Linked DNA regions of Saccharomyces cerevisiae S288C. The protein of the gene in region 4 purifies or fractionates together with the protein of the main gene of each other region. This does not show direct contact. Each region holds a gene or a part of one and is shown on either strand. Other genes may lie near its edges. The genes, in order: SRP68, SRP72, SRP14 and SRP54.

The links.
Region 1: the proteins of SRP54 (region 4) and SRP68 purify together in Saccharomyces cerevisiae (affinity purification with mass spectrometry; 3 studies listed by BioGRID). This does not show direct contact.
Region 2: the proteins of SRP54 (region 4) and SRP72 purify together in Saccharomyces cerevisiae (affinity purification with mass spectrometry; 3 studies listed by BioGRID). This does not show direct contact.
Region 3: the proteins of SRP54 (region 4) and SRP14 purify together in Saccharomyces cerevisiae (affinity purification with mass spectrometry; 4 studies listed by BioGRID). This does not show direct contact.

Annotation. Positions count from the first base shown.
Region 1 is NC_001148.4:85,037-93,478, reverse strand, and holds SRP68 (signal recognition particle subunit SRP68), read right to left. Parts: upstream 4,963-8,442; coding exon 3,163-4,962; downstream 1-3,162. Other genes in the region: IQG1 (Iqg1p), read left to right, coding at 1-2,857; UDP-galactose transporter HUT1, read left to right, coding at 5,446-6,465; YPL245W (uncharacterized protein), read right to left, coding at 6,529-7,893; putative rhomboid protease RBD2, read left to right, coding at 8,182-8,442. UniProt on the Saccharomyces cerevisiae protein: Component of the signal recognition particle (SRP) complex, a ribonucleoprotein complex that mediates the cotranslational targeting of secretory and membrane proteins to the endoplasmic reticulum (ER).
Region 2 is NC_001148.4:150,952-158,091, forward strand, and holds SRP72 (signal recognition particle subunit SRP72), read right to left. Parts: upstream 5,262-7,140; coding exon 3,339-5,261; downstream 1-3,338. Other genes in the region: U2 snRNP complex subunit LEA1, read left to right, coding at 1-379; pseudouridine synthase PUS1, read right to left, coding at 564-2,198; ribosome biosynthesis protein NIP7, read left to right, coding at 2,544-3,089; IPL1 (aurora kinase), read right to left, coding at 5,539-6,642; RKM1 (protein-lysine N-methyltransferase), read left to right, coding at 6,891-7,140.
Region 3 is NC_001136.10:291,231-297,937, reverse strand, and holds SRP14 (RNA-binding signal recognition particle subunit SRP14), read right to left. Parts: upstream 5,158-6,707; coding exon 4,717-5,157; downstream 1-4,716. Other genes in the region: NUR1 (Nur1p), read right to left, coding at 1-1,118; RAM1 (protein farnesyltransferase), read left to right, coding at 1,609-2,904; clathrin-mediated endocytosis regulator UBX3, read left to right, coding at 3,179-4,546; putative dolichyl-phosphate-mannose-protein mannosyltransferase PMT5, read right to left, coding at 5,798-6,707. UniProt on the Saccharomyces cerevisiae protein: Component of the signal recognition particle (SRP) complex, a ribonucleoprotein complex that mediates the cotranslational targeting of secretory and membrane proteins to the endoplasmic reticulum (ER).
Region 4 is NC_001148.4:707,330-714,781, reverse strand, and holds SRP54 (RNA-binding signal recognition particle subunit SRP54), read left to right. Parts: upstream 1-1,753; coding exon 1,754-3,379; downstream 3,380-7,452. Other genes in the region: YPR089W (uncharacterized protein), read right to left, coding at 1-1,507; transcription factor SUA7, read right to left, coding at 3,644-4,681; ASA1 (Asa1p), read left to right, coding at 4,954-6,285; YPR084W (uncharacterized protein), read right to left, coding at 6,440-7,452.

The DNA.
Region 1 (8,442 bases), 620 kb from region 4:
ATTGCAGTCTTATATGCGTGCTTCTTATGTGAGAAAGAAGGTGATGTCCCTCAATACAAAGTTGAACGATGAGCGAGAAAGTATTATGAAGTTTTCGGCAATCATCAGAGGTAACGTTGTGAGGTGTTCAGAGGACGCGATATTAAGTGCTGTACATGATGTACATAAGGAAAATATCTCAAAATTGCAAAGCTTGATTAGAGGAATATTTACGCGTTCGTGCCTAGCATCAATAATATATTCACTTGGAAAAGAAAACTGTAATATTATTCAATTATCAGCCTGTATACGCGGAAACGCTGTAAGACATAAGGTACAGTCACTGTTTGCGCCCGAAAATAATCTCAGTGAAACTGTGCACGACCTCCAGGGTTTGGTTAGAGGTATTCTAGTCCGCTACACATTAGACTTAGTCGATGACATTGTGGAGTATAATAATTTAGCATTATTTCAAGCATTTTCTAGAGGCGCTTTAGTACGTGAAAGCTTGGACCAAAAGTCGAGTTTTTACAAGAGAAACGTAAGGTCGGTTATTATGATTCAAAGCTGGATTAGGAAAAGTCTGCAAAGATCGGCATATTTGGAACTTCTAGACTGTCCAAATCCAAGTCTTTGGGCTGTCAAAAAATTCGTTCATTTGCTCAATGGAACAGCAACCATTGAAGAGGTCCAAAACCAGTTGGAGAGTTGCCAAGCCTCTCTTGATTCCGAAAATATGAAGAAGGAACGATTACTGAAGAGCATAAGACAACAACTAAATATTAACGGAGTATTGGATAAGTTTGGACTATTAAAAGATAAAGATCATGAACTCGGTATTTCCGATTCTACGATTCCGAAGTCTAAATATCAAAAGTATGAAAAACTGTTCTATATGTTGCAAGTTGATCCCTCTTATTGGAAATTGCTGTATTTGAAAGAGCCAGAATTTGTTGCAAAGAATGTTTATATGACATTTGGAACAGTGAATCAAAGGATGAACGACAGAGAGAGATCCTATTTCACAAGGTTTGTTTGTGAAATGTTACAAAATGCGATTAATGAAGCACCGAGTATTGAAAGCTTTCTTGACAACCGATCACAATTTTGGCAAACCATTCTTCAAGATTTTTTGAGAAGAGAGTCTCCAGAATTCTTCTCTATAATAGTCCCAGTTTTGGATTACTTGTCAGATCCAGTAGTGGATTTTGAAAGTGATCCATACAAAATTTATCAAGAAATACACGGCTTTAGCTCTCCTCAGCATTGTTCGCCTGTGGATGATGCGAGTACCAAGAATAAGTTCATTGACAATTTAAGGTGCCTATGGCACGCGATTGAAATGGTCGCTGAAATTTATACCAGAAAGGTTCACACTATTCCCGTTGAAATCAGGTACCTCTGCACTAAAATCTTCTGCTACGCGGCAGATAAGAATATTGAGGAGATTGACTCTTTAAGGGCCATATCAAGTATTCTAGTGAACGTTTTTGTGTCTGAATATTTGGTCAACCGGGAATATTACGGATACAAAGACAGCAACGTTCAAAAAAATAACCAAAAAATTGACATTCTAATGAAATCCTTGGCGACTGTTTTTGAAATCAAAAATTTTGATGGCTTTTTGGATCCATTGAACCAGTACGCTAACGAAATAAAGCCTCATATCAAAGATGTCCTTTATAATGTGTTAGTAGATCCAGAGTATGAACAAGAGGGAGATAGATTGATTTATTTGGATATGGTATCGCCAAGCCCCAAATTGGAATTGTTAACTGAAAAGGTTCTGGAAATCAGTGGTAAATTTGAAGAGTATTTAAATGAATTTCCGGAAGCAGATATTTTGCATGATATTTTGGAAAAGAACTTGGACAATTCATCCTTTCCAAGATCAGGACGTGTTACCTTGGAATTGGATGCATCTGCATATCGATTCCTCGTTAGTGATGACAAGATGAGAAAAATCTACGACCAAGTTAAAAGGGCATTTGTGTACATGATGCAAATTGAGGATGTAGATACCAATTTGTATGACCTTTCAATTAGTACAATTCTACCTCAAGATGAACCAAATTTTGCAAATTTTCTGGAGCAAAATCCTAAAATCAGGGATGATCCAATGATACAGAAGCTGAAACCATTGAAATACTTCACACTCAAAAATGTTACTTTGAAAAAAATACATGAACTAGAAAGTACGGGGACTTTTTGCTCTTCTGATAATAAGTTACAAAATTTCTTAAACGATATTGCGAACACTATTAAAAATCCCAACTATGCCATTGATTATGTAACCCAGGAAATTTACATCACAAAGGAAACACTCACAAAAATTTCGGAAATGAACCACAGCTTAGATATAGAATTATCAAGGCTTAAAAAACATGTTGATCATACGATAAAAGACTTCCAGAAAGCCAAGGATTTTTCGCCGGTGCACAAAAGTAAATTTGGAAATTTTAAGAATGCAGTAAAAAAAGTTCAAGGAAGAGAACGTTCTGAATTGCAGGGAATGAAGTTTAAATGGAACACAAAGCAGTTGTATGAAAGAGGAGTGCTTAAAACCATCAGGGGTGAAAAACTAGCTGAACTGACTGTAAAAGTCTTTGGTTCGAGCGGTCCTAAATTCCCAGATATAATATTCAAAATTTCCACATCGGATGGTTCTAGATTCGGTATTCAAATGATTGACAAAAGAAAAGGGCCCGATAAACGATACTCGGATGATGTCGATTCTTTCTCATTTAAAGACTTGATAAAGACTCAAGTTGAACCAAAAATCGAGACGTGGAAATTATTCCATTCCAACGTTGTTGTTAACAATAGCCAATTACTACATTTGATTGTCAGTTTTTTCTATAAAAGGAACGCTTTGTAATAGATAACTCGGTTTTGAGCATATTGGGCAAAAGCTGTTACTAAATTTTCCCATTCTTTCTATTTTTATCTTTGTTTTTATTTTCCTTATTTTCAGCAGCAAAAATAATTTAACGTATAGTTATGTAAAGGACCCTAAACATCTTCTTTTTAGCATGTGCTGTAATTTGGCGATATCTTCAGTAGATAAAAATAAGATGTGTTAAGTAATGCACTTCGTTATTTGGCTACTATAGTTGGCAATCATCATTTGTTTAAATGGAATAATCTATATAGTACTATAAATACAGTCATACTAGAAAAATATTAACGACCAAATAGGCCCAAGAAACCACGCTTCTTTTTAGGCTCTCCTTCCGTCTGCTCATTAGAAATTGGTGTTTGAGAGATGCTCTCGGTTTCTGTGACTGAATCTTTCACTTGAGAAGCTGAGGGCTCTTGCTTATCATATGTTATGTAGTTGAAGGCCAAATCAAAAAGTGTTGGTTTACTAGGAATGGGCAGCATTTTTGGCTTGAGAGGGAATAAATTTTTCAATTGTATGTCCGTTGGCAGTATTTTTTTACTATCCAATTTTTCAATCACTGTCAAATCATATTTCCCTAAGCTGCCACCATGATTTCTTTTTTCGTATTCCGCCAAAGTAATGACACTATTACCACCGTTTTCGATTCTCTTTTGTAAGCTTCGGACAGAATTCAATGACAAAAGATTTGCTGGAAGTAAGATTTCGTCTAGAGATTCAATTTCAGATAATTTGTTTTCTAATCTTCGGTAAGCGTCCACATATAGAGCTAACGCCTCCATATATCTGCCTTTCGACTGATATAAAACACTCAGGCAGCCCGTATTCAGAAATAACTGGAAATACAGCTTGCATAAGTCTAATTGGCTTAGCAGCTCGTCATCTGAATACACACCAGGTAGCTCCATTATGTCCGATAAATATTTTGTCAAATTCTTCACAATACGTTCCATTTCTTTATATTTGGTTAACTTCGATGGTAATGAAGTATTTAATTTCAGCCATTGATTCCATAAATGAGTAAACAAATCTCTTTCACGAGATATAGAGGTCAAAAGAATATTATATTTAATGTAGGCTAAAATTATCTGATTGTTTTCAGAACTATTTTCAACCATCTCGTCTATGTCATCTTGATCGTCGTGGTTTGCGATGAAAAATTCATGACGGTCTAAAGCTTTCTCCAATTTTGATAGCCTCTGTGTATATTGAGTAATCTGAGTTGGGTGGATAGATAGACCTTGTTCCAAAAATTGAGCAACTTCAGCATCGATTATCTTGGCGTTGAAAGATCTCCAGTTTATGTTAGTGGTAACCTTTTGATCTTCAGTTGAGGTTGTAATTTTTTTCATATTGAATCCATTGTCTAATAACAATTTCACAAGCTCATCGTCCTTGTTCTCATCAGATTGAACTCTTTCCACGATAAAGTTATTTATTTCGGGCGTTGTAATTAAATTTCCCGCGTACTGCTTGAGAGAGTACTGGTATTTATTAACAATGTTATCTACAACTTCTTCAGCTAATAAGCTTAGATTCTTCAAGTGTTCCAATGCGGCGAAAACGAGGGCTAGGTTGTTCGAAATTTTGGCATTGTCCTTCCTCTTGAACCTTTTTCCATTAATTAGGTACTCTGAATGTACCAATTTAGCGAACGCTAAATATTGGGCACGAGTTATCCATTGCTGTTCATTTTGAGTGACGTTAACCAATTTATCAGCAGTCTTGCAGGCCTTCTTCAATCTTGTGGATAAAACCTTTTCTTCACTTTTCTTTAACTTTCCTCTTTGACGAGCTCTCAATTTCAAAGTTTCAGCCAGTGCCAAGTCCCTTTCAGCGTGTAGTAAAATCAAAACACCAATCAATTTAGTTTTATTATCATAATCCTCGGAGTTAATTTCGCCATACTTATTTTTACTTGAGTATTTCTTTGTATCCTTGGTGACCAAATGGCAACGGCTCCTCAAGTGTTGCAACTTTTTATTCAATTTCGCATGATACTTAGCGAAGTCTGAGTCTGTTTCTAAAAACTGTTCTGCACGATTACCATAGGTGGCAATGATTGGAGAATAGGCAACCATCTTTAGTTTCAAGCGTGGCTAGTTTTTGATTCAATATGGAAAAAAAGAAAATTACACTGTAATATAATACAATTGATCACTTTGATGCTCAAATAATTCAAATAACCTAGTCTCCAGCTGCTCGTTTATGCTAATATTGTTGGATTAACTCTAGCAAATATACTCCAAAAAAAATTTTCAGAACTTATCACGAACAACGATGTGGTAAAGACAACGAAATACTACGTAAATCATATTGGTCTGCTCGTTTATAAAAGCTTACTCCCAATCAAATCACTGCAATGGAATATGTCGTTTGGTTCGTTGTTGTAGTTTGTGGAATGCCAGAATCATCAGCTGTTTCTCTTCCAAAGCTTCCCTGAGATCGCTTCTAAAGGTTGTTTTGTAGATCCCATCGAACATGAAAAAATGACAGCAATGTAATTAGAACCAGAATTACAACGTAACAAGAAGAAGTAAACAAGGCAGTATTCGTATATTTGTATGGCGGGAAGTACATCCAGTTTGGTGATCTGTGCGATTGGTATATATGCTACTTTTTTGACGTGGGCATTAGTACAGGAGCCTTTGGCTACAAGAACCTGGCCAAACTCCATGGGAAAGTTTCAATTCCCTAATGTAATATCCCTCATACAAGCTTCTGTGGCAATGATGATGGGCTACCTGTACTTAAACTGGAAGAAGGTGGAATATCCGCCCAGAAAAATGATTAAAGATCATTGGAAACAATTGATGTTGATATCATTTACACAGAGTAGTTCAGGCCCGCTGGCTACAACTTCTTTAAAGCACGTGGATTATCTCACTTACATGTTAGCAAAGTCATGCAAGATGATCCCCGTGTTGTTGGTGCATTTGCTTTTGTATAGGACGCCCATAGCAAGCCAAAAAAAAGTTGTAGCTCTCTTGGTAAGTCTCGGTGTCACTATTTTCACTATAGGTGGCAACGATGGTAAAAAGTTGAAGAGATCCTTTAATGAGAGCGGAAATGATAACAAATTACAAGGGTTTGGACTACTTTTCTCTAGTTTATTCCTTGATGGATTGACCAACGCCACCCAAGATAAGCTACTAAAGGCCAATAAGGCCAAAGAAAAGGGAAAACAAACTTTGATAACAGGTGCACACTTGATGTTTACACTGAACCTCTTCGTGATATTGTGGAATATTTTGTATTTTATTGTGATCGACTGCAAACAATGGGATAATGCCGTTTCTGTATTGACGATGGACCCACAAGTGTGGGGCTATTTAATGCTTTATTCGTTCTGTGGCGCTATGGGACAATGCTTTATTTTCTATACTCTAGAACAATTTGGCTCTTTAGTTTTGATCATGATAACAGTCACCAGGAAAATGGTCTCGATGATTTTGAGTATTATTGTCTTCGGTAAGAGTGTACGTTTCCAGCAATGGGTGGGGATGTTTATAGTATTTGGTGGAATCACTTGGGAAGCACTCAACAAGAAGAAGGCTAATATACCGAAGGCAAAATCTGCGTAGATTAGTGAAGATCGCAACAAATAAAAGTTAATATTTATAAAATTTGTCTATACTATGTACTTCCTATTTTTTTGATGGACGAAGCAGTCTCTCTCTTAATTCAGGATCGTATGCATAAACATACAGACCACGCACGCCACGAGTTAAGAGGACATTAATGCTATTCATAATAATCTTTTGCTTAACGTCCTCTGCATTGTGAATGTTTTTCTTTTTGGTGAAACCGGCCCTATCGTCATACAGCTCTGGTCTTAGTTTGATGCAGTCATTAGCCGCATCATACCCAATGGAACGGCCCAAAATTACACCAGCATAATTCAGATCAAACCCTTGGATAGTATACACACTACCTACCTCATCAATCGTGTCGCAACGCTCACTCCAAGGCGTCACTTCACGTGGAGTATAGCGATCCCAGCGAACTTTGAAATTGTCACCACATTCAACGTAATAGTCTTTTCCGTCCAAGCGATAGGGAAAATCGTAAGTAGATAGCATCCTACATTGGCCGTATTGACGGTCTTTCTCCTTGATTGCCTCGTACATGGCGCCACAATCATCCCAAATTTTGAAATCAAAATTCTTAATTTTATCGTCAGCACAATCTGCATTGCCCTTAGATAGCACAGATTCAATTGGTGGGATTTTACCTGCGACACTAATTTGGTCAATCCAGTTCAACACGTTTTGTGGGGCAGCAACCCTAAACTGCTGTTTTAAAGTGTACCAGTCTCTGGATTTTGGTGGAATCTCGTTGTAAAAGTCCTTTAAAGTGGCACCGTTATTAGAACCTTCATCCCAATAGGAACCCATTCTTAAAGCTTGCTTATCATCGTAAACCAATACAAGCACTTTACAAAGGGACATTAAGTCTTTGAGATGGTTTTCGCCATAAAATCTTTTGAAAGCATCCTTAGAAGTGGCCAACAAATGTGCTTCATCTACAATGACTACATCGGCCATGACTTTTCTCTTCTGTAGATTGTTGATCAACGAAGTGGGCCGTTCTAGTGACGATTTAGAAATATATTTGAAACTGTCACTAATCCGGATATATAACTTTAACATCTCGGGATGGTTGACTACCAGATAATTATGTGTCCCATGTAAGATATCTTCAGAAGAAGGTGAGAACTGGGATAGTTTCTGAATTTCATTGAACAAGGAGTTTAGAATCACAGACTTGCCTGTACCTGCGTCCCCTTGGATTACAAACATGGCCGGATGTTTCCAGTCAGACTTGTACTGAGATAAGTTGGAACGCATGAACGACAAAACGCGCTCTCTCAACTTTTCTTGTTCAGCAGAGAGTGTTACGTTAGACAACTTGTTCATAGCCTGCGTGGAGACCACGGGCCTAGGTGCTCTTCTTGGTCTCTTCACGCTTCTCACATTGCGGGAAATAGCTTTTGAAGTAGGCCCATGCATTTTATATGGTTCTAATGGAAGTTAAATGCTACTACCGGGTCGCCAAGAAAGATGCGATGCCATGCTGCATACATATGCATAGATTGTTTATATATGGCGATGGCTGCTTTTATGATTTCTCGAGAAAATTTTTCACTTTTTTCGGCCCTTTGAGATCTAAAGCCTCTTTTTTTTTTTTTTTTTGAACTGCATCGATACAAGAAGAATAGGGGGATGGGAAAGGCTTAATTGGAAGCACTGAGAACAGCAATTCACTCTGGTTGTTAGGTTGTGCTATTTGGTCGTGCTATGAATTGGAAGTCGTACGTTTTTCCCGGTGGTCATCCACCAGCTGCGTTGACCACAGGCCTTGTGGTATTTCTAACCGCTATTTACCTGTTAAGTTTTATTTTTGCCCTAAGGGAAGACCTGTCGTTGGCGCCAGAGTCATTGTTCAAACTGCAAATGAGCAGGCTATCGCTTTATCCTTTAATTCACCTATCATTGCCTCATTTACTGTTCAATGTGCTAGCCATCTGGGCACCCTTGAATCTCTTCGAAGAAACGCAT
Region 2 (7,140 bases), 560 kb from region 4:
TCTTCAAAGGTTGCGTAGAGCGCCCAGGACGTTGAAGAATCTAACTTTAATAGGGAATCAAGTATGTCATTTAGCCAATTATAGAGAACATGTACTTCGATTAGTACCGCATTTAGAGACTTTAGACTTTCAAAACGTAACAGCTGAGGAAAGAAAGAGCGCAATGAGCTTTCCAAGGCAGGCGGACGGCGATACGTTGGGCCCAGTAAATACTGCAATAAGAGATAATGGATCCAGAGATAAAACGATGGAGATCATGAATTTGGTGGTGAGTAAGATGACAGTAGAGAGAAGAAATGAATTGAAAAAGCAGTTAGCAGAAGCTACTTCTTTAGAAGAGATTGCCAGGCTGGAAAAACTACTCTCTGGTGGTGTTTAATCTTTTGGTTAGTGCGACTGTTCAATGACTTAAAAAAAAAGAATTATAAATTATTCTGTGCCATTATATAATAATATATAAAACGAAAACAAATAATGGTGCTCTATAAACATTAGAGGACAATGTCAATTTCAATGTCAATGCCTTAGAAATTAAAGTTGGTAAGAAAGAAGGAAAGGGCAACCTAATTAGCTGCCGCTTCCGGTTGTACTTCAGGTTCGTTGCTCTGAGTGGTGCTGGATATTTCAGCCTTTTTACTAGCAGCTTCCTCCTCTTCCATTCTTTTTCTTTGCTTAATCTTCTTATTGCTCTCGGGCGCATCAGTAAGACCTGGGATACCCTTAGCTGTCAAGAATTCGAAGATACTCTTTTGCACAGCAGGTCCCGATTTATCGGCAGTTTCTTCTCCCTGTGCTCCAGTAACCTTGTTGAAACTATCAATATAACTAAAGAACGCATTAAAAACATTTTCGTCCACCTCTTCCTTGTAGATCTTATCGTAGATATGCTTCATTTTGAACTTATCCACTTCGTCTTGATATTTGGAAAAATCGATCGCCTTGTAACCAAACTGTTCTAGTCTTTTATTATAACCTTCAAATACTGGAGCTTCTAACAATAATCCTAATGCAGGTGCCTTCGGAATATTAATCTTCTGCTGTCCGTAAGCCTGACTAATGCGTTCGACGGGGCAACCACAACGGGTAATTAAGGTTGCCATTGATACCATCTTACGAATTTGATGTAGCATGAAAGACTGGCCGTGAATCTTGATGGAAATCCATTCTGTTTGGGCATCGCCAATAACAAATGGATCAGATACTTTTATATCTTTCATAAATCGAATGGCACTTGGTTCTTTGAAGTCCTTGCCTAATGTAAAATTATGGAAGTTATGAGCGCCAAGGTATTGACTTGTAGAAGCACGGAATTTGGCCAGTTTTGCCGCGGATATACGATATCTTCTACGGTGAGCATTTTCTAATTGCTTGTACTTTTTTACCTTCTGGTATAGTTCTTCATTTATATCAAATTCATCTCTTGCGGGCGGAACATATGCTAATATAGCTTCGATTTCTTCTGTTGAAAATTTTTCATTCGCATCTTTTTTAAACTCTTCCCAAAATTCTTTGGATTCCAAATCTTCATCTAATACACCAGGTAATTCTGTTTTACTTTCTTCGATGTCTCTATAAAGTATAGAACCAGGTTTGGGGCCAATGAGTGAATAAGTTGGTAATAAGTATTCGTACCAACGTGAACTGCACATTTTTCTACAATCAAACGCCTTGTTCACACGCTCGATATCCCATACCCTTATCCCTTCCGGTAACTTTTCGTTGATCTTCTGCTTGATATCAGGATCTTCAATAATCATTTTCAATGATATTAAATTACCTCCAGCATGGACACCCTTATCAGTTCTTGCAGCTCTCATGAATCCATTCTTTTTCAAATCGTTGGAGTTGTCCTTGGAAATAGCACCTGCTTCAACAAATGCTTTGAATAGGGCAGACTCGATGGTTGGATTTGGTGGATTATATTGCATACCATGGTAGCCAGTACCACAGTAACCAACCATAACAGCCACCTTTCTCTTTGGGAGACGAGGCTCCTTGGGAAGTGGATTGCCATTTTCATCCAAACGAGGACCGCTTTTTGGTCTTTTATCTATGTGTTTGTCATTATCCTTTTTTTTGTCCTTTTCATCGTCGAAGTCTGCCTTACGAGCTTTGGTCAATTTGCTCTGAGCGCCTCTCTTGTAGACATCCTCATTAACTTGATCGTCATAGGCAGGCCTCAAATTCTCTTCAGACATCCTTGATATCACTTATAATTGTTATTTACTAGCACTTTATTGTCCTTTATTATTTTTTTAGTACTTCTTGTATTTCAAATTTCTCGAACTATAGCGATGACTAAAAGTGAAAAATTTCAAAGCCAAAAGAAAAAAAAAAAAAGAAAATATTATTTCAGCGGCTAATAGTTACCCGCATCAAAATAATATATCTCTGTACGGTAATGAAAATTTTTGAAATATGCGATGAGCTTAGAACTAAAGTAAGCAATGTATTATTGAGGTAATTGACGGTTTAGTGATTGGATCGTATTCTAGATTTCCGAGTAGTAGAACCATTGAGGGAAACTATAGTTAGGTGCAATAATGAGACAGCTAACAGAAGAAGAGACCAAGGTTGTTTTCGAAAAACTCGCCGGCTATATTGGTAGAAATATTTCTTTTTTAGTGGATAATAAAGAACTTCCTCATGTCTTCAGATTACAAAAGGATAGAGTATATTACGTACCCGATCATGTTGCAAAATTGGCTACTAGTGTAGCAAGACCTAACTTGATGTCTCTGGGTATTTGTTTAGGTAAATTCACGAAAACTGGAAAATTCAGGTTACATATTACTTCTTTGACAGTATTGGCTAAGCATGCCAAATATAAGATATGGATTAAACCTAATGGGGAGATGCCATTCTTATACGGTAATCATGTGTTAAAGGCACATGTGGGTAAAATGTCTGATGATATACCAGAACACGCCGGTGTTATTGTGTTTGCAATGAATGATGTGCCATTAGGGTTCGGTGTCAGTGCGAAAAGTACTTCTGAGTCAAGAAACATGCAACCCACTGGTATAGTTGCTTTCAGACAAGCAGATATTGGTGAGTATTTGAGAGATGAAGACACCTTGTTTACTTAGTGGGAAGGACTGATGATGAATTCCCGTGTACATTTCACTTACAGCTTGCGTTATCTCTCACAATGTATTTTTTTCTGTATAATAAAGAATCATATAATTAGCGCTTAAAAGGAAAGAGTTGTTCGATAAAATGGGGAGCCTAACCCCTCGATGACCTTTCTTTTGAATTAGTCGAGTTCCATTTCATATACAATATTACATAACTTGACAACATTTGAGGATTACTAATGACAAAAATCTTTATACGCTCTATTTACGGCCCTTCTTCTTGTTCTTAGGCTTTTTATTAACAGTGGGCTTCCCTTTCTTTGATATGTCAAGGGCCTGTTCTGATTTTTTGTTCATAGCACCACCTTGAGTTTGTTTTGCACCTTGTTGTTTTTTCTTTGGCCTATAAGTAGACCTGTCTCTTAATGGCAGCCACCTTTCAGGATCAGGTAATTTGGAGGTGTCGCGACCTTGTAAAAATTTTTCGAGGCGTTTAATCTTTCTTTTCTTCTTTAGCTCTAAAACTTTTCTCTTTTGAACTTTGCTAACTGCGGTGTTTTTACTTCTCTTTGCTGACGATTCTAAGGGTTTCACACCAAGTTGAATTAATTTATCAATATCAATATCTCTCACTAGATCTATACCTTGTGCTATATCCAAAGAATCTGACGAAACAACTCTGTCAACAAGGACATCTGCATCGCCTTTACTAAAGTTTGAAATCTCTCTGAGTAAAGCCTTCGATTCTTTAGCATTACCCATGGACAATAATTCAAACCCGACGTGTTTCCAAAATGGTATGTTTTCTTGGATTTTTCCGCTCAATTGGACTCTCACGGAGCCTAATTTTTTAAGCAGAACACTTTTGGAGTTGTTTCTTCCCTTAATCTTGTATAATTCAAATAAAATGTAACACACGATGGCTTGTGAATCGTTGAATTTTTCAAAGGACGATTTCCAGCTTTCATTTAAAAATAATTCTCCTATTCTGATAGCATTTTCCCATTCCTTCTCTATTATTAGCAATTGGATAGTCAGTAGTAATATTCCAATCGTACTTCCATCTGTTCCACTTAAAATGGTTTTTGTAGTGTGGTGGTAAAGTTTCTTGGCCTGCGTCTTGTAGCTTTCCAAAGTAACATTGTCAACTAACTTAGAGTATTTATCGAACGTTCTTGATAAAAGGGACTCTTGAGAGTGAATTTTGACATTGTTGAACAAACGCAGGAAAAGTACATTGCGTTGAATGTTTGACCATTGTTCATGGGTGAAGGTTTGTAAATTAAAAGTGTTTAGTTTTTCTACGTTTAATTCCCTTAACAGTAAATTGAAGTTTGTATTGTATTTAGAGAAATCAACAAACGCATTTAGGTTATTTTGACAAATTAAAGAGAATGGAGAATCGGCTTTCAGTTCCTGCAATAAGCCCTTTAAGATTTCTTTACTTTGTGCAGTTTTCCCCACCATTTGCAAAACAAATGATAATTGCAATTTAATAGTATTAATATCGTTTTGATAGCCTTCATTCGTGGCTCCTTGAAGCGCTTTTTCTAATAGTTCGATAGCCTTGTCATATTTACCTACGGATGCCATGATGAATGATTCATTGAATAATAAATCGTAGGAAGATTCATCCATAGGAGTAACTAAGGGTGATCTGTTCATTAACTCTGTCGCAACGGATAGCGGAACCCTTTCGTTACAAGAGAGTTCAATTTGACTATCCTGATCCTTCTCATTGTGACTTGCTAAATGTTGATATATTTTAAAAGCTTCTTGGTACAGCCCATTTTTATAACAATATTGAGCTCTCACATGTAGGATACCTCTAAGTGACTCGATATCCTTTTTTAGTACCGTATCGAGATCATCTGTGATAATTGCTGTGTACAATGTGTTGAATTCATCTGGCATATTCAATTTATAGAAAATGTACAATTTTTCTAGCGCAAATTTGCGACCGTACTTGTCATCTATATGTTTGAATTTTTTTAAATAATGTAAAGCCTTTTGATACTTGTCCTGTTGGATAACAGCTACTAAGCAACGTCTAAATACATCCGCTGGATTCTCACATCCAGAATCCAATAGTTTCACGCAAGTCTGTTCGACCTGCGAATGCTCGTCTTGAGACAATTGAATGTTCAATTGAGAGAGCAAATTAGTTAAATTATCTTTAGCCATTTTTTTGCTTTCTTTCATTACTCTTATTATTGATCAGAACCAACTCAACAAAGTAAATCTGCTACTTTAATGCATAGCAATTTTCAGCTTGTTTTCCTCTTTTCTTTCGACAAAGGCGAAAGAAAAGAGGAAAAAATGAACAAGAAAATTTAATCAAATATCGCAATATACGATGCCGAAAAGAGTAATGAAATATTAGAAATGGATACTTAGTATTATGTGATATGTGCGGGAGTGATTAATAGTGCCCTTCAAACGATTCTGTCATACTTTAATTCTATAACCGCTTATTTTCCCAAAAGGGCTTGTTTCTTAGTATCCAAGGATGCATTTTTACGTCTCCAAGGCGCATTCTATCTTTGGGGTCGTATTTTAGTAGTTTAAGTATTAAATCTTGCGCATCCTGAGAAATGTTACTGGGCATTTTGATATCCAGTGCTGCTATCCTTTTATATGTAGTATCTTTCATTTCTTCTTCGAACGGAGGGGCACCGGTCAGTAGTTCAAACGCCAGGACGCCAAGAGCCCATGCATCTATAGTGTGATCATATTCCCTTGACTCCACCATTTCTGGAGAAAGGTAGTCAATTGTCCCACAGACAGTTTTCCTTCTATTTTCTGGCGGATTTATTATACTCCATCCGAAGTCCGTTAACTTAATGACATTATTGAACCCTATTAGTATATTTTCAGGTTTAATATCTCTATGAATAATATTCTTTTTATGCATATAATCTAGGGCATTGGCAATTTGATAAATATAATCTGATGCTAAAATATCGTTGAAGGGTCCGTGTAACCTCAATAGTTTATACATTTCCCCATTGACTAAGTATTCCATTAGCAGGTACACTCTTTTTTCATCATGAAAATAGCCGTATGATTTAGTTAGATTCGGATGATTTAGCGATGTTTGTATTTCTACCTCCCTTCTGAATTGTTTCTGTAAATTATACTTTATTATTTCTTCCTTCTCCATTACTTTCAGTGCGCAAATATATCCTGTACTCCTGTGCCGAACGCAATAAACTTTACCGAATTTACCCTTTCCTAATTTCTTCCCCAGTTCAAAGTCATCGAGTGATAGGGATTTAAATTTAGGTAGCTTCTTATTTTCGTGTATCATTTTGGAAGAAGTCGCTTTCCTTATAGGTGATGGAATTTTGGAGCTTTCCATATCCAAAAACTTCTTATTGTTTACAGGTAATCTGTTCAATTTTTCTCTTACAGGTGAAGGTATTTTTGAATTCGGGTTTCTTTGCTGCGGCGAATGGGATATTCTCCATGGTTTATTGATCCTGGACGTATTTGGTCTTGTTGTGGTCTTTTTCGATGGCGAATTAGCGTTTAGTTTGATATTTACTAAACTATTGCGTTGCATTCCCTTTTTACTTCTTTCTTTTGTTGTATTTCAAAATCCCAGTTTTTTTTGCGCTAAGAATGATCTTGCTTTGTTTATGCATTCACTTGAGCAATTGCATCAGTTGGCCTTAGCTCAAGGTTTTTATAGAATGGTAAACAAATTAAGCGCTTTACAGGAAAAACGCGTGAAGTTAAACTTACTGTTCAATAAGCAATGCTGTATCGGAAAATGGAGCACAAAGGTTATAGATACAAGAGAAGACTATCATGTCATCAGATGCGTTAAAAGCACTACTTCAGTGGGGTGCGTCATTTGGTGTAATAGTGCCAGAGGAACTCAAGTTTTTATATACCGATCTTAAGGGCATTATTTGCGTATGTGAAAAAGATATAGACAATCCCAGCATCAAGATTCCTCCCGAGATTGTCATTTCAAGGAATCTGCCCATGAAGTTTTTTGGGCTAAGTGAATCCACTAAGAATATCAACGGATGGCTGAAGTTGTTCTTCGCAAAAA
Region 3 (6,707 bases), on a different chromosome or scaffold from region 4:
CTGGTTTCACGGGATCCTGGCACACTTTCTGTCATTTTCGGTAATGCCTCAAATTCCCTTTTTTCATAATTATAAACCTCTCTGATTTCTTCGCCACATAGGGAGTGAGTGGTGAATATTCTCGGTGTTTTAGATCTAGTACCCATTGCAGATGATAGAGTATCTATATTGCTGCATTGGTTAATTCGTGCCATTATATGCTTGTCCTCATATTCTTGCAAAGCTGCACTTGATAAAATCAAGTCGTCGTCCACGCTTCTTTGAAATCTCTTAGTTATGATATAATCCAGAATATATTGATGGAATACTATAGCAATTGCTGAAGTAAACGAAACATCAGAAAAGCTTAAAAAAACAATTGCCGTTGGTGAAAAAGACACAAAAAGATTAATCATGAAGTTAGTGGGGATCCATTTTCTTAACTGAAAAAATATCTCATCTTCATTTTGATTAACATGAGGACCGTCATCACGAGATCCTCTGAAAAAATGCTTCAACATAGACCACAAGGACTGCTTATAAATATCTTCATAGTATTCTTTGCTTAGATCCTTCAAGTTGTGTTTAGTGAGGTTTGGGGAGTTGAACTCTTTTTTCAAATGGAAGAGATTGTAAGTCTTAAAGTATCCAAACATGAATTTACAGCTTACGTACAGGTTCAGGGACAGCAGTATGAAAATAGTAAACCTGAAAAGATTATTCAAAAACCTTAAGGTAACAAAATACCAAGATTGAAATGCATAAAATTGATTATTGTTTTGAAAGCTGGATGATATCTCCCATAGATAATCAAACTCTTTTAATTTATTGGATTTAGAAAGATCGAAAGCGCCAGACTTGACGTTTAGTTTGTAATAGTTGGGCTTGATCAAATTGTCCTGCAAGAGTCTTATGATAAAAAAAAGTATTGTTAAAAAATTCCCTAATGGCTTAGCTAGACTTTTAGCATAAGCATCCCAGTTGATCATTTCTAACTTTTCATTTATTACCAACTGCAAGTCTAAAGGAGAAGTAAGTAGCTGATACCACCTCTTCATCCATGCAGATTTTGATTCTCTTTCCTCACCAACTACTTCCGAGTCGTCATATGCTTCATTTATCAAATCATTTGAACCCATTTTACTGCCGAAGGTAAATGTAAAGCTCTCTACTGCACAACAAAGTTTTTTAGGTTGTTCGTTTCACTAACTTCTAAATATTGTCAATCAAACCAGACTTTAAGGAAACTACCACTTGTCCCAACGGCCTCACCCCTTTTAATACGGTGTTAACTTCTTCCTTTATATATTGCAGGGCTATTTTTCCCTCCTTTCGCTATTGAAAGAGATCACTATTCCCGTGCTCTGTTCTGATTAAGTAGGAGGACAAAAACACTTGTAACTTAATCCACCTATTCTTATTATTTCTGGCTAACGTTAGAGGTCTTGAAGCGAAACTGTTTAACATTGTAACTTATTAATCTTTTCGTATAAGCTGTTGCCTGATTAGGAAAGCTTGAAACTGAAACACGCGAAAGTGGCTAGGATAAACCAAGCAAGGGTCCATATCATCGCCGTTCTTATGCAGAAACAACTGCAGTGCTTGTAAAGCTATAGGCAATCAAAGCGTATGCGACAGAGAGTAGGAAGGTCCATAGCTAGGGCTAAATTTATAAATACTGCCTTATTAGGAAGAAAGAGACCAGTTATGGAAAGAGTCGTCGATATAGCGCATGTAGATTCAAGTAAAGCAATCCAACCATTGATGAAGGAACTAGAAACCGACACTACAGAAGCACGATACAAAGTACTACAAAGTGTATTAGAGATATACGATGATGAAAAGAATATAGAACCTGCTCTCACGAAAGAGTTTCACAAAATGTACTTGGATGTCGCTTTTGAGATATCGTTACCTCCACAAATGACAGCACTAGATGCTTCACAACCGTGGATGCTATATTGGATTGCTAACTCATTGAAGGTAATGGACAGAGACTGGCTTTCAGATGACACCAAAAGAAAAATTGTAGATAAGCTCTTTACTATTAGTCCTTCAGGAGGACCCTTTGGTGGAGGTCCTGGCCAATTATCTCATTTGGCCAGCACTTATGCTGCAATTAATGCTCTCTCCCTTTGCGATAACATAGATGGATGCTGGGACAGAATTGATCGAAAAGGAATTTACCAATGGCTGATATCGTTGAAAGAGCCTAATGGAGGATTCAAGACCTGTTTAGAAGTCGGAGAAGTGGATACAAGAGGTATATACTGTGCCTTGAGCATAGCAACCTTATTAAATATTCTTACAGAAGAGCTTACAGAAGGTGTGTTAAACTATTTGAAAAATTGTCAAAATTATGAAGGTGGATTCGGCAGTTGTCCTCACGTAGATGAGGCACACGGAGGCTATACTTTCTGTGCTACAGCTAGTCTAGCAATTTTAAGGTCCATGGACCAAATAAATGTTGAAAAGCTTTTAGAATGGTCTAGTGCTCGTCAATTGCAAGAAGAACGAGGATTTTGCGGAAGGAGCAACAAACTTGTTGACGGTTGCTATAGTTTTTGGGTTGGAGGTTCGGCTGCCATTCTTGAAGCTTTTGGATATGGCCAATGCTTCAACAAACATGCTCTTCGGGACTACATATTGTACTGTTGCCAAGAAAAAGAGCAACCTGGTTTGAGAGATAAACCAGGGGCCCACTCAGACTTTTACCATACAAATTATTGCCTATTAGGACTGGCTGTTGCGGAAAGTTCATACAGTTGCACTCCTAATGATTCTCCACATAATATTAAGTGTACTCCAGACCGCCTAATTGGATCATCGAAACTTACTGATGTCAACCCTGTCTATGGTTTACCAATAGAAAATGTAAGAAAAATTATCCACTACTTTAAATCCAATTTATCTTCTCCAAGTTAACCACATACTATTATATATATGTATTCAATCTCCTTAGCGGTCAGTCTCTTTCCAATTTCTTTCTCTTTACGTTATCATTGTCCTTTATTCGACACTTCGGCGACCGCTTTTAAAACGATAATAACAAAGCGAAATCTTATTGTAACACATCCTTGCTTAATTACATACGAAGCAAAAAGTGAGAGTAAGTTCAAAAACAGCGGGCAATCGTACTCCCAAATTTTGTTGTACCTCATCAATCGGCTTGACTGCGATTTAAACATACCCTTTAAACATGGATATATTTAGGCATACTTTTGGAAATAATGATGATTCCTTTATTCGAATCCCAGGTGCTTTTAGAGAAGAACCACCTGCTGATTTGAATGGAAGGACAGAAGATCAAAACAGCAATACAAATGAACCCACACAGAGCCGGGATGGACGCTTAAAATCAATACTCCATTTTTTATTTCAAGCTCCCCTAATAGTTCTTTATTATTTATTGAATTTCATTGTCCGAAGTTCACGTCTTTTAAAACCTCTATTAAGACTTCACGGATTCTACCAGAGGAAGCACAACCGTTTACTAGACCACAGTTCCCAATTACACCGTCTTTTAGAAAATCTAGAAAACGAAGCTCAAGCTGTAACGTGTTCTGAAGGTAACGGGAATAATGATGATGGCAGCAATACTGACAGTACGAGCAACAATGAGAGCAGTGGGGTCCAGTTTAGTTTTGGTTCTTTATACAACCCTGAAAATGGAACATTTTCCAAAAGCATTATGCAAAATAGTTACACTGAATTATTGGATGCTTGTAGCGAACAAGTGAAATTTGGAGTCATTTATTTACATGACCCATTGTTGGATAATCATATGGATTACGTTAATAAAATATTGTGCTCAGAAGCCTTTGTTAACATGATAAGGAAGTACCAGGTATTACTATGGTATGGTGACGTTACTACATCCGAGGGGTTGCAAGTTTCCAATGCATTAAAAATTAGGCAATATCCCCTACTTGGAATAATTTCTTTAAAGGCTGAGAAAAAAATAGAGTTAATAGCAAGAGTTGAAGGTTCTATTTCTAACTACAAAGCCCAAGATTTGGAGGCCATATTCTCCAAGAATTATTCTCGATTAATTCAATTGCGTCAGCAAAGACAAAATATTGAAATGCAGAGATTAATAAGACAACAACAGGATTCAAGATACCAGGATTCCTTAAGACGTGATCAACAAAGAGAATCAGAAAGATTGGAACAGACCCAAAGAGAACAAATGGAAAGAGAGCACCAAAGAATAGAAAACCAATGGCTATTGTGGAGAAAAAGCCAACTAAAACCCGAACCCTCTTCTGATAAAGATGCAAGCAAAGTTGCGATCAGACTAGAAAATGGGCAGAGATTAGTGAGAAAGTTTGACGCATCTCTACCAACGGAGGAGATATATGCCTTCGTAGAATTACAGTTGCATGACATGTTGAACTCAGAAAACGATACTTTACCCGTATACCAACCTGCTAATTATCAGCACCAGTATAGCTTCAAATTGATCACGCCGGTACCAAGAAGAGAGCTTGATTTATCTACCAAAATATCTGACGTTAGCGGCATATATCCATCAGGAAATATTGTAATGGAACGCCTGGACGAATGAAAGGAATTTCAAAAATAGTCATCTCAAAACGTTTATTCTAAAGTTTAGTTAAATTTATATCTACACAACTTTATGCAATTAATCTTTTATATCTACGTTGCCATCCTTTAATCTACACATCCAAAGATAACAAGAGGCGCACATGCCTTTTGACTCAAGTGTCACGTGCATCAGTTTTTCTTCGCTACCTTGTTTTTCTTTCCTGTCTTACTGATGGTACCGTTCTTACTCTTCTTTTTCTTCTTCTTGATCAAATTCTGCATGCCCCCCTTAAATACAGATGAATACTCTTGCCAAAATTGATCTAACTCACTTGCTTTTACCACTGTTGAGCATTTTGTTTTCTTGTCATGCGAGCCATAAGACATTCTGATTAATAGTGGGTATTCTCTGTCAGATCTTGAGCTAACTGAAATTTCAGAAGCCTTTTTAGATACATCATAGTCAGGATGGTTGGTAGAATCAAATTCAAGATTCCCTTCCACAGGATCGTGTTCTATGAGTCTTTTGGCCGTTAGACGCACAGTTATATGTTTTTCATTCGCAGTCTGGAAAAATTCTGGAACCTTTGATAAAAATGCACCTGGTGATAAACAGCCAGTATTTGCCATTGTTTTAGGGTGGTAAGAAAGCTACGTTTTTTGATTTGTATTAAAGAAGAGGTATGCCAACCCGTAAGTTAAACATTAACGTTAAGTATGGCTATTTTTTCAAATGAGAGATATATTATCCTTTTGCACGGGCGAGGAAGTAAGAATATGTAATTAGTTGTTTTGTAGAAGCCTCCAATTTAGGGCGATTATGCAAAGACAATCAAATAGCTGTTGTAGTCTTTATCATCGGCTGAATGTTTTGATCTGCCTACGTTCATCTCCTCATGTGCTTAAAATGCCACTCAGTGGTGATCTTGAAAAGCCCGATAAGAGAAATACCATGTTCACAGCTTTCCTTTTACCGGTTCAATCCTAATTCATCTATTCTTTGTTTATTAAATATCTTGTTGTATTTGACAATATATATGTATATACATTACTTAATACGGATCATTTTTTTGGTATTCGTTAGTTGTTTAGTGAAATTCAACGAAAGAACAAGATAGGAAAGTGTTGCATTGTGACCGGTTATGAACTCTTTTTTCATATACATCTGGTTCTTTTCCATATGTACGTAGATCTTTCCCGCAGTTTAGCTCAAATGTAGTTTTTAAATCTTTTGCTAAACGAATGTCCAATCTGAATACGGGTGGATGGATCATGATTCAGCGTTTAATTCATAGTGGCTATCGGATAGTAATAGTGAATTGCAATAAAAGTCCCAGCTTCCTAACCACTTGGACCTCTTACACAGGTTACTCGACCATCCAGTAGCATAAATAAGTGGAGAATGCTCGCTGAAGAAATAGAAACATACAACCATGAAAATAGCCACCACTATATATCCAGTATTGTTTCTTTTGTTAGAAATATAGGTTGAAATCAGGTCTAAAGCATGACCAAATGCTAGGATACCAAAATAATAGGCCGGCAAATAATCGTACAAAAATAACTTTTGCCCCACAAAGAAGTAAGGGAAATAGTGGGCGGCAAAGCCTAATAAGTACTGAAAGACCTGATAGTGGAAATTTATGATGTGCTTATCCCGTAGAATATTCACACCTAATTTCCAAGCAAGAAGCTCAACAGCCACTCCAATGATGAACGTGCAAATAAATGCTGTGACAGACCACCACAAAACAGCGTTACCTAAAAAGTACACCTCTCTGCCATTTTCATTCCAAAAATCAATACCACGCAACATAAGAGGCCAAGTCTTTGGTTCAGATGAGTAGGCATGACTAGTATCCATATAATTGTTAAGGTAGAACATGAACTTGTGGATAGCAACAAACTTCTGCCAAAAGCTCATTTTCTTATAAGAAACCTTCTCTGGATTTGGCAAAGAAATTTCGTTTTCGTTTTCTTCAATATACCATGAAGTTAAGTCTTCCCTTGCAAAGTATGCACACGTAACTTCCTGCTGCCCGAATCCCCACTCAGGTAGCTTTTCAGGATGTGAAAATAAGTAACAACCAGTTAGATAATGCTTCAGCCTAAATTTGGTTTCAATAGCCCTAATATGTTCCTGGGCAGGTCCCGGCTCTGATCTCTTTTTATCGATTTCA
Region 4 (7,452 bases):
AATTGTTATCATCATTTGTTGATGCCCTATCATCTGAATCATTCCCATCTTGTTGACCCTCCTCTTCTTCATGATTTTCTTGACCCTGGCTTTTTCGATGAAGTTCTTTCTTTTGTTGTTCCTTTAATTGTTTTCTGTTCTTTTCCTTCAATAAAAGCTTGGCCTGCTTTCTCTTTTTAAAAAAGTTCCAGTCTCTTTTGTATAAAGTTTGTTTAACGTCCTGGATTGTTGTGTATGCTAGTAAAGTTGAATCTATCAAAGAAATCAACCTGCAATGAATGGAAGATGTCAGTTCTATGATAATAGAGTGGATGGTGTTAATCAGCTCTTGTAACACGCTTGGATGCCTCTTGAAAAATGAATCATCTCTACAGAGGTAGTAATAGAGAAAAGATAAACAACTTAACCAATACGATTGCAATACAATGTCACCTGCTTGCAAAGAAGCTTCTGTGGAGACCAATCCTGCAGCTCCGTTGGATGAAACACTGGTCAGAATTTTTGTTAGAGATAAGTTAATTAACGATTCTACTAGTGGCTTGGACTTTATCTTATGATCAGCATATCTAATACATTGGTATATTAAACCAGCTGGATAGGTGGTCATGTGAGGTTCCTTTTGTGGTAGCGATATCAATAGATTCAGGATTTGTGGTATATCAAAGTCGGAAAATTCCAAGTATTGGTCCGGAGATAGTTTATCATAATCAAATGTACCGTGGTAGTCTTCTGTATATGTGGGATCTATTAGGGTTGCAGCTCCCTGAGAATGATTCATGTTCTTTTCATCAGAATCCAGAAACATGTTGTCATTTGCACCAGGGGACAGGGTCAAACCGGCGACTTGTAAGTCAATATTATCAAAAGTTTCTTTCGTGGTAGAGTCTTCATTACTCATTAGAAGAGAGGTGTCTTTCGGTTGGGAAATTTGAGGTATTTCATGTTTTACTTCGGTACGGTATCGAAACATATTGTTTTGTTCCAAAAATTCCGAAAGTGGTGAATATGGAGGAACCATATCCCAAGCGGTTAATCCAGCCTTATTCGTCATGTTGAAGTTTATCTCGTCGAATGCGTTGAACAGCTCCAAGCAACAGTTCCTTCTCTGCAGACTGAAACTCCACATCAAAGGTGTGTAACCTACAATGTCGTCGACAAGATTCAAATCTAATTTTGCACCAGAAGGATTATCATGTAGTAACTCAATGTAGTCTGCACGATCAAATACAATGATATAATGAATCAAGGCAACGCCTGTGACGGATTTATCATTAACGTTTTTGACTTCCCTTAATAACTCCTTGAATGTAGTAAATTCTTCTTCACGGTCTTCGTCGCAGATCAATTTGACTAGTTGTACCCAGGAATCGCATTCTGGTCTATCTTCTTGGTCAAGTTTAAACAAAGTTGATTTTACCAGCGCGAGTTTCTCCTGAGCGTGAGAGGAGCCTACTGGTTTGTCCACCGTTCTGTCCTCTATTCTAGCATCATCCCAAACACTGTTCATTGTTCACGAATGCCTTGTGAGTTCTGTAGACCGGCAATTGCGGCTCTCCTATACTTCAGTCACTACCCATATTGTTATAGTATGATGGTCTTTTCGTTCATCTCAATATCGAAAAATCACCGCTAACGATAAAGACATCAACAAAGTGAAAAAAAATAGTGGTAAAACAAGATAATGAAAAGTGGTTGAACAGCAAGGATGCAGAAGAGAAGGGAAAGAAAACACAGCATCGAGTCTAACTAAAGGATGGTTTTGGCTGATTTGGGGAAGCGGATTAATTCTGCTGTGAATAACGCGATTTCCAATACACAGGATGACTTTACTACATCCGTAGATGTAATGTTAAAGGGCATCGTGACTGCGTTGTTAGAATCGGATGTGAATATTGCCCTGGTTTCTAAGTTACGAAATAATATAAGGTCACAGCTGCTGAGTGAGAACCGTAGTGAGAAGTCCACAACAAACGCACAAACTAAGAAGCTTATTCAGAAAACGGTGTTTGATGAACTGTGTAAGTTGGTCACCTGCGAAGGTAGTGAAGAGAAGGCCTTTGTGCCCAAGAAGAGAAAGACAAACATCATCATGTTTGTTGGGCTGCAAGGTTCAGGTAAAACTACTTCCTGTACCAAGTTAGCAGTTTACTACTCGAAGAGAGGTTTCAAAGTGGGTTTGGTATGTGCGGATACTTTCCGTGCTGGTGCATTTGACCAATTGAAACAAAACGCTATAAGAGCAAGAATTCCATTTTATGGGTCATATACGGAGACTGACCCTGCCAAAGTTGCAGAAGAAGGTATTAACAAGTTTAAGAAAGAGAAGTTTGATATCATCATCGTTGATACTTCAGGTAGGCATCATCAAGAAGAAGAGTTGTTCCAAGAAATGATTGAAATATCCAATGTCATCAAGCCTAATCAAACTATCATGGTTTTAGATGCTTCCATTGGTCAAGCTGCAGAGCAACAATCCAAGGCTTTCAAAGAATCGTCCGATTTTGGTGCCATTATATTAACCAAGATGGACGGCCACGCTAGAGGGGGTGGGGCAATTTCGGCCGTTGCAGCCACAAACACTCCGATTATCTTTATTGGTACAGGTGAGCACATTCATGATTTGGAAAAGTTCTCGCCTAAGTCATTCATATCTAAACTGTTGGGTATTGGTGATATAGAGAGTCTCTTTGAGCAATTACAAACCGTTTCCAACAAGGAAGATGCAAAAGCCACAATGGAAAACATCCAAAAGGGTAAGTTCACCTTGCTAGATTTCAAGAAACAGATGCAAACAATAATGAAAATGGGTCCATTATCAAATATAGCGCAGATGATTCCTGGTATGAGTAATATGATGAATCAAGTAGGGGAGGAGGAAACCTCTCAAAAGATGAAGAAAATGGTTTACGTTTTGGATTCTATGACTAAAGAAGAACTAGAATCTGATGGTAGAATGTTCATTGAAGAGCCTACAAGAATGGTTCGTGTAGCTAAAGGTTCAGGTACTTCTGTGTTCGAGGTAGAAATGATATTGATGCAACAGCAGATGATGGCAAGAATGGCACAAACCGCAACCCAGCAACAACCAGGAGCCCCTGGTGCCAATGCTAGGATGCCTGGCATGCCAAACATGCCGGGTATGCCAAACATGCCTGGTATGCCGAATATGCCTGGTATGCCAAAAGTGACTCCACAAATGATGCAGCAGGCACAACAAAAGCTGAAGCAAAATCCAGGTCTAATGCAAAATATGATGAACATGTTTGGTGGCGGAATGGGCGGAGGAATGGGCGGAGGAATGCCTGATATGAACGAAATGATGAAAATGATGCAAGATCCACAAATGCAACAAATGGCAAAACAATTCGGTATGGGCTAAAGGCCACCATTTGAATATACACAGTATATATATATATGTATGTATGCATATTTCAAATAACTTGTTTAGCTTTCATCCTTTCGAATACCTCCTTCAATAAAAAAAAAAAGAAAAATCTTGTTAAATTATAAAGTGTTCATTCTATTTTTTTGAATTGTAAAATAACAAAATAAATATTCGATTGAACTGCCATGGAAAAGGTTCTACCCTCTAACACGAGTACCCGTGCTTCTTGTTCCTATAATTTACTGTTTTATCACTTCATTATTTCTTTTCAACGCCCGGTAAGTTATCCAAAGACACTACACCATTAGCAATAAGCTGCGGATCCACAAGCTTGTCTCTATGCTCATAAAGTATCTTGTAACCAGATTTGATGGTACCTTCAGTAACTTGCAAGGTTTGGCCCACTTTCGCTGCGGTAATAGGGATCTGAAAGAGCAGGATGTTTAGATAGATGGAAACAACAGCGATAGTAATAGGGGATTTACCTGCAATTTCTTTGATCTCTTTACATTTCTTTGCGGTATATTCAGCAGAAGTAGTGACTTGCATCGGTAAGCCCAGATGCGAACAAAACCTGGGTATATAAGTTAGGTTTTGTGCACCACTCATATTATCGGTATCAATCTTCAAGAAACCATCTTCGCTCTTGCCTCTTAAAATGTTCTTCATTATGTTTAAAGTTTTACCAAACTCTTTAGTTTTGACATGGATTAATGACTGGATTTCTTTAAAAGTCCTTGCCACTTCAGCACGTCTGCAACCAATCAGTATGGATGCAGCCATTATACTCTCCATTGATTTCCCCTTCAAAGTTTTTTCATCGTGGCAAAGTTTATATGCTTCCTTGGCACAATCTTTCACAATCTTCGGTAATTCAGCAGCATCACATAGCATGGTAATCTTAGCAAATGCAGCTTGTACTTCATTATCCTTTTTATCCATCACATTTTTTCCTTGTGCCTTATTCAGTTCTTTGGTGAATCTCATATCCGTGGTTTCACCCTTTCCGATCCTTGTAGATAGGTTATTCCCATCTAAAAGAGGATTTGAAGCCTCACCAACACGACTTGGGTCATCACCGTTGTGATCATCATTTGAAAACGTTCTCCACTCCGACCTGGTGTCAACCAGTTTATCTGATAGTACTAGACCACATAGAGCACATACAACATCCCCTTCACTAAATCTTTCAACGATTTTTGGTGGGTAGACTTTGCACTCCGGACACGTCAGCACAATATTCAGATTAGGACCCCTTCTTCCTGCTCTTTTATCTATGCTCTCCCTAGTCATCATTCTGCGTATCTACTTCTCCCCTTCTCTATCACTGGATCGTCCACACCAGCGTCTATTAAGTTGTCTTTATAAGTGATGATTATTCTCTTCACTTTTTTTTAACTAAATTTATAACAAAATTTTTCGATTTTTAAGCAAATATTGAGACGAAACGGTGATGAGTAAGACAGAAATACAGAGATACTAAGCTATAAACTACTATTTAAGCACGTGCATAAATTGGGTGTGATGTGCAGTCAAGGCGAGCGTCGATTACAATGGGCGTAGAACACATGAGAGGCTTTAGTAATGAGATAATCCTGAAGAGAACGTTGACTTTATCCGATTTCACCTTACGTTACCATAAAAGGGGCATCACAGCTTTGCAGGTCATCAAAGCACCGTCAGTTTCGAATGTGCCAGTCTTGTTATCCGGTGATAACTACGGTTATTTCGTTATGTGGGACCTGGTGACCAAGAGACCGATTACACATATAGAAATCGAGGGCAACTCGCACATTATAGCGTTTTGGTGGGTGGAAACTACCAATGTGCTGTACATTCTTTCGAAAGACTCCATGCTGCGAATTTTTGAGCTTGATTCATCTACACAACTATCTATAGATTTAGTTAGAAAGCTTAGCCAAGCCAATAAAACGGATCATTTACAATGGACTAAAATCTATGAAATGCCCATAAACACACTGAATTTTGCGAATTTCATCATCGAAGCTGAAGTGAAACCAACCAAAGATAATAAAAGTTATAGATTGGTTTGCTGTCATACTGATGATTCGGAAACTATCGATATATATCAGATAATAGAAGACTCCACATTTAAATTGAAAAGACCATTCAATAATATTAATTTCCCCAGATTCTTGAAGCAGCAGAATTTTTTAGGAATTTCGAAAGACTCCAAATTCGGTATCATAATGAGATTTGCTAAATTAAACGATGTCATATTTTTAGGTTATGAAAATGGGTTTGTAGTCGGATTTAAAATTACTTTTGATGAAGGCCTTCAAAGGGACATTGCAGAACTGGTCCATGTTTCTAACGATCATTATCCGAATCCAATACTTGATATGTGTGTTAGCGGGGATGAACTTTATAGTTGTTCAACAGACGATTTCATAACCAAGTACAAAATTCCAGTGAACTTACAACTTGAGACGAAATACCTTAGAGATGATGCGCTTTTGATAAAATGCCCAAGCTCACTGAGAGTCAGTGAGCCATCAAAAGTACATCTTCCCTTGAAGAATATTGGTCATATTGATAAAGTAAAAGACGATTACTTAGTCGTGAGTAGTTGGTCAGGTATGACCATTGTTTATAATATGCGGACTTCAGAAGTGGAGCAAACTTTTGTGAAATCAAAGAACAACCTGGTCGTGAGTGATAGCTCTATGGGAGACCTAACAAACGGTAGCGGCTCAAATACCGAATCCAGCTCGAAATCCCATAACTATAAAGTGGGAGCCATGACATGTTTGGAATCGTTTGATGTGCAGTCAGATGGGTTGAGGTTAGGACAACTTAGACGTATTAAAGCGCTGGCGAAATGTAACTGGTGTTTAATTGGATATGAAGATGGTACCATAAAGCTCAATAAAATATAATTATTTTTTTTCCTTTTCTGTTTACATGGTTTCAGAAAGAACATTTGTATATATACATACGTGCCTATATATACATATTTCCTCAATCCAAGTAAAAAAAAGTGCGATGTATCATGGTCATAAGAATGTTAAAGGGAGTTCTTCCCTCTATCAATTATTTTATAATTTTCTTCAACATATTTTTGTTTAAGCCGGCATTGTTGTTTTTCTTCTTGTCATTCATTAAATGAGAGTTGTAAATTGAACTTGAATTACCACTACTACTACTTCCATTGGAATTAGAAACCAGTAGCTTCATCTTTTCTGATATTTCCTTTATTAGTAAGCTAACCGCCACATCGACATTTAAATCATCCATGCTGTCTATTCCAACAAATCCATATTTCCATTTTGTTGCTAGTTGTCTTCCCATTTCAATCAACATTGGGCTTGCGAGTTCATGATTAACGTGAGAACAGACGATAATGCATGGTGGTGGTGAATCGGGAGATGAGGGGTCTAACTCGATGGATTTTAGTTTGGTATTATAGGATCTCAATTGCTCTATTTTGGCGCTTTTCTCTTTGCTATTTTTACTCCATAGATGTCTCAGGCTGTAAACCAATGAGTAAATATCATCCTCTTTGCCTTCCTCCCATCTTTTTTCATAATTTCGAAATTCAGTCCAAGCATCTAGTATGCAGTTTCTAATCACTTTTAAAAGTTCAAATCCACCATCGCTGACGTTTTCCGTATCTGTGTTCATCACATCATCTCCATATTCCGGAGGGCCTCCAATATGGTTTAATTCAGGGACTGCGCTATACACCAAGATATAACCGTCAACTTTACCATTCAACTCAGAGGCACCAGAGGCAACCAATAGTGAAGTAGTAGATACAGGTCGTCTTGGTTCATCTGCTAGTCCATGTAGGATTGATTTTCCTAAATTTCGGAAGAGAGAAACTTCTAAGAACGGCACCACATTATCAGGACTGAAGCCAGGCGTATCAATAATATCAATCTGGATTGGTGCATAAGTGGGTGGAATGTAATTCAGGGGCAATTTAAAATGCTCGATAACGTTAAGCTGGTCTGCCTTGATTTTAGGAACACTTTGAGAGTTAATGTCATTGGAAAAAGTTTGATACAGCGGAGAATCAGATTTATCCAAAGATAGGGATCTCC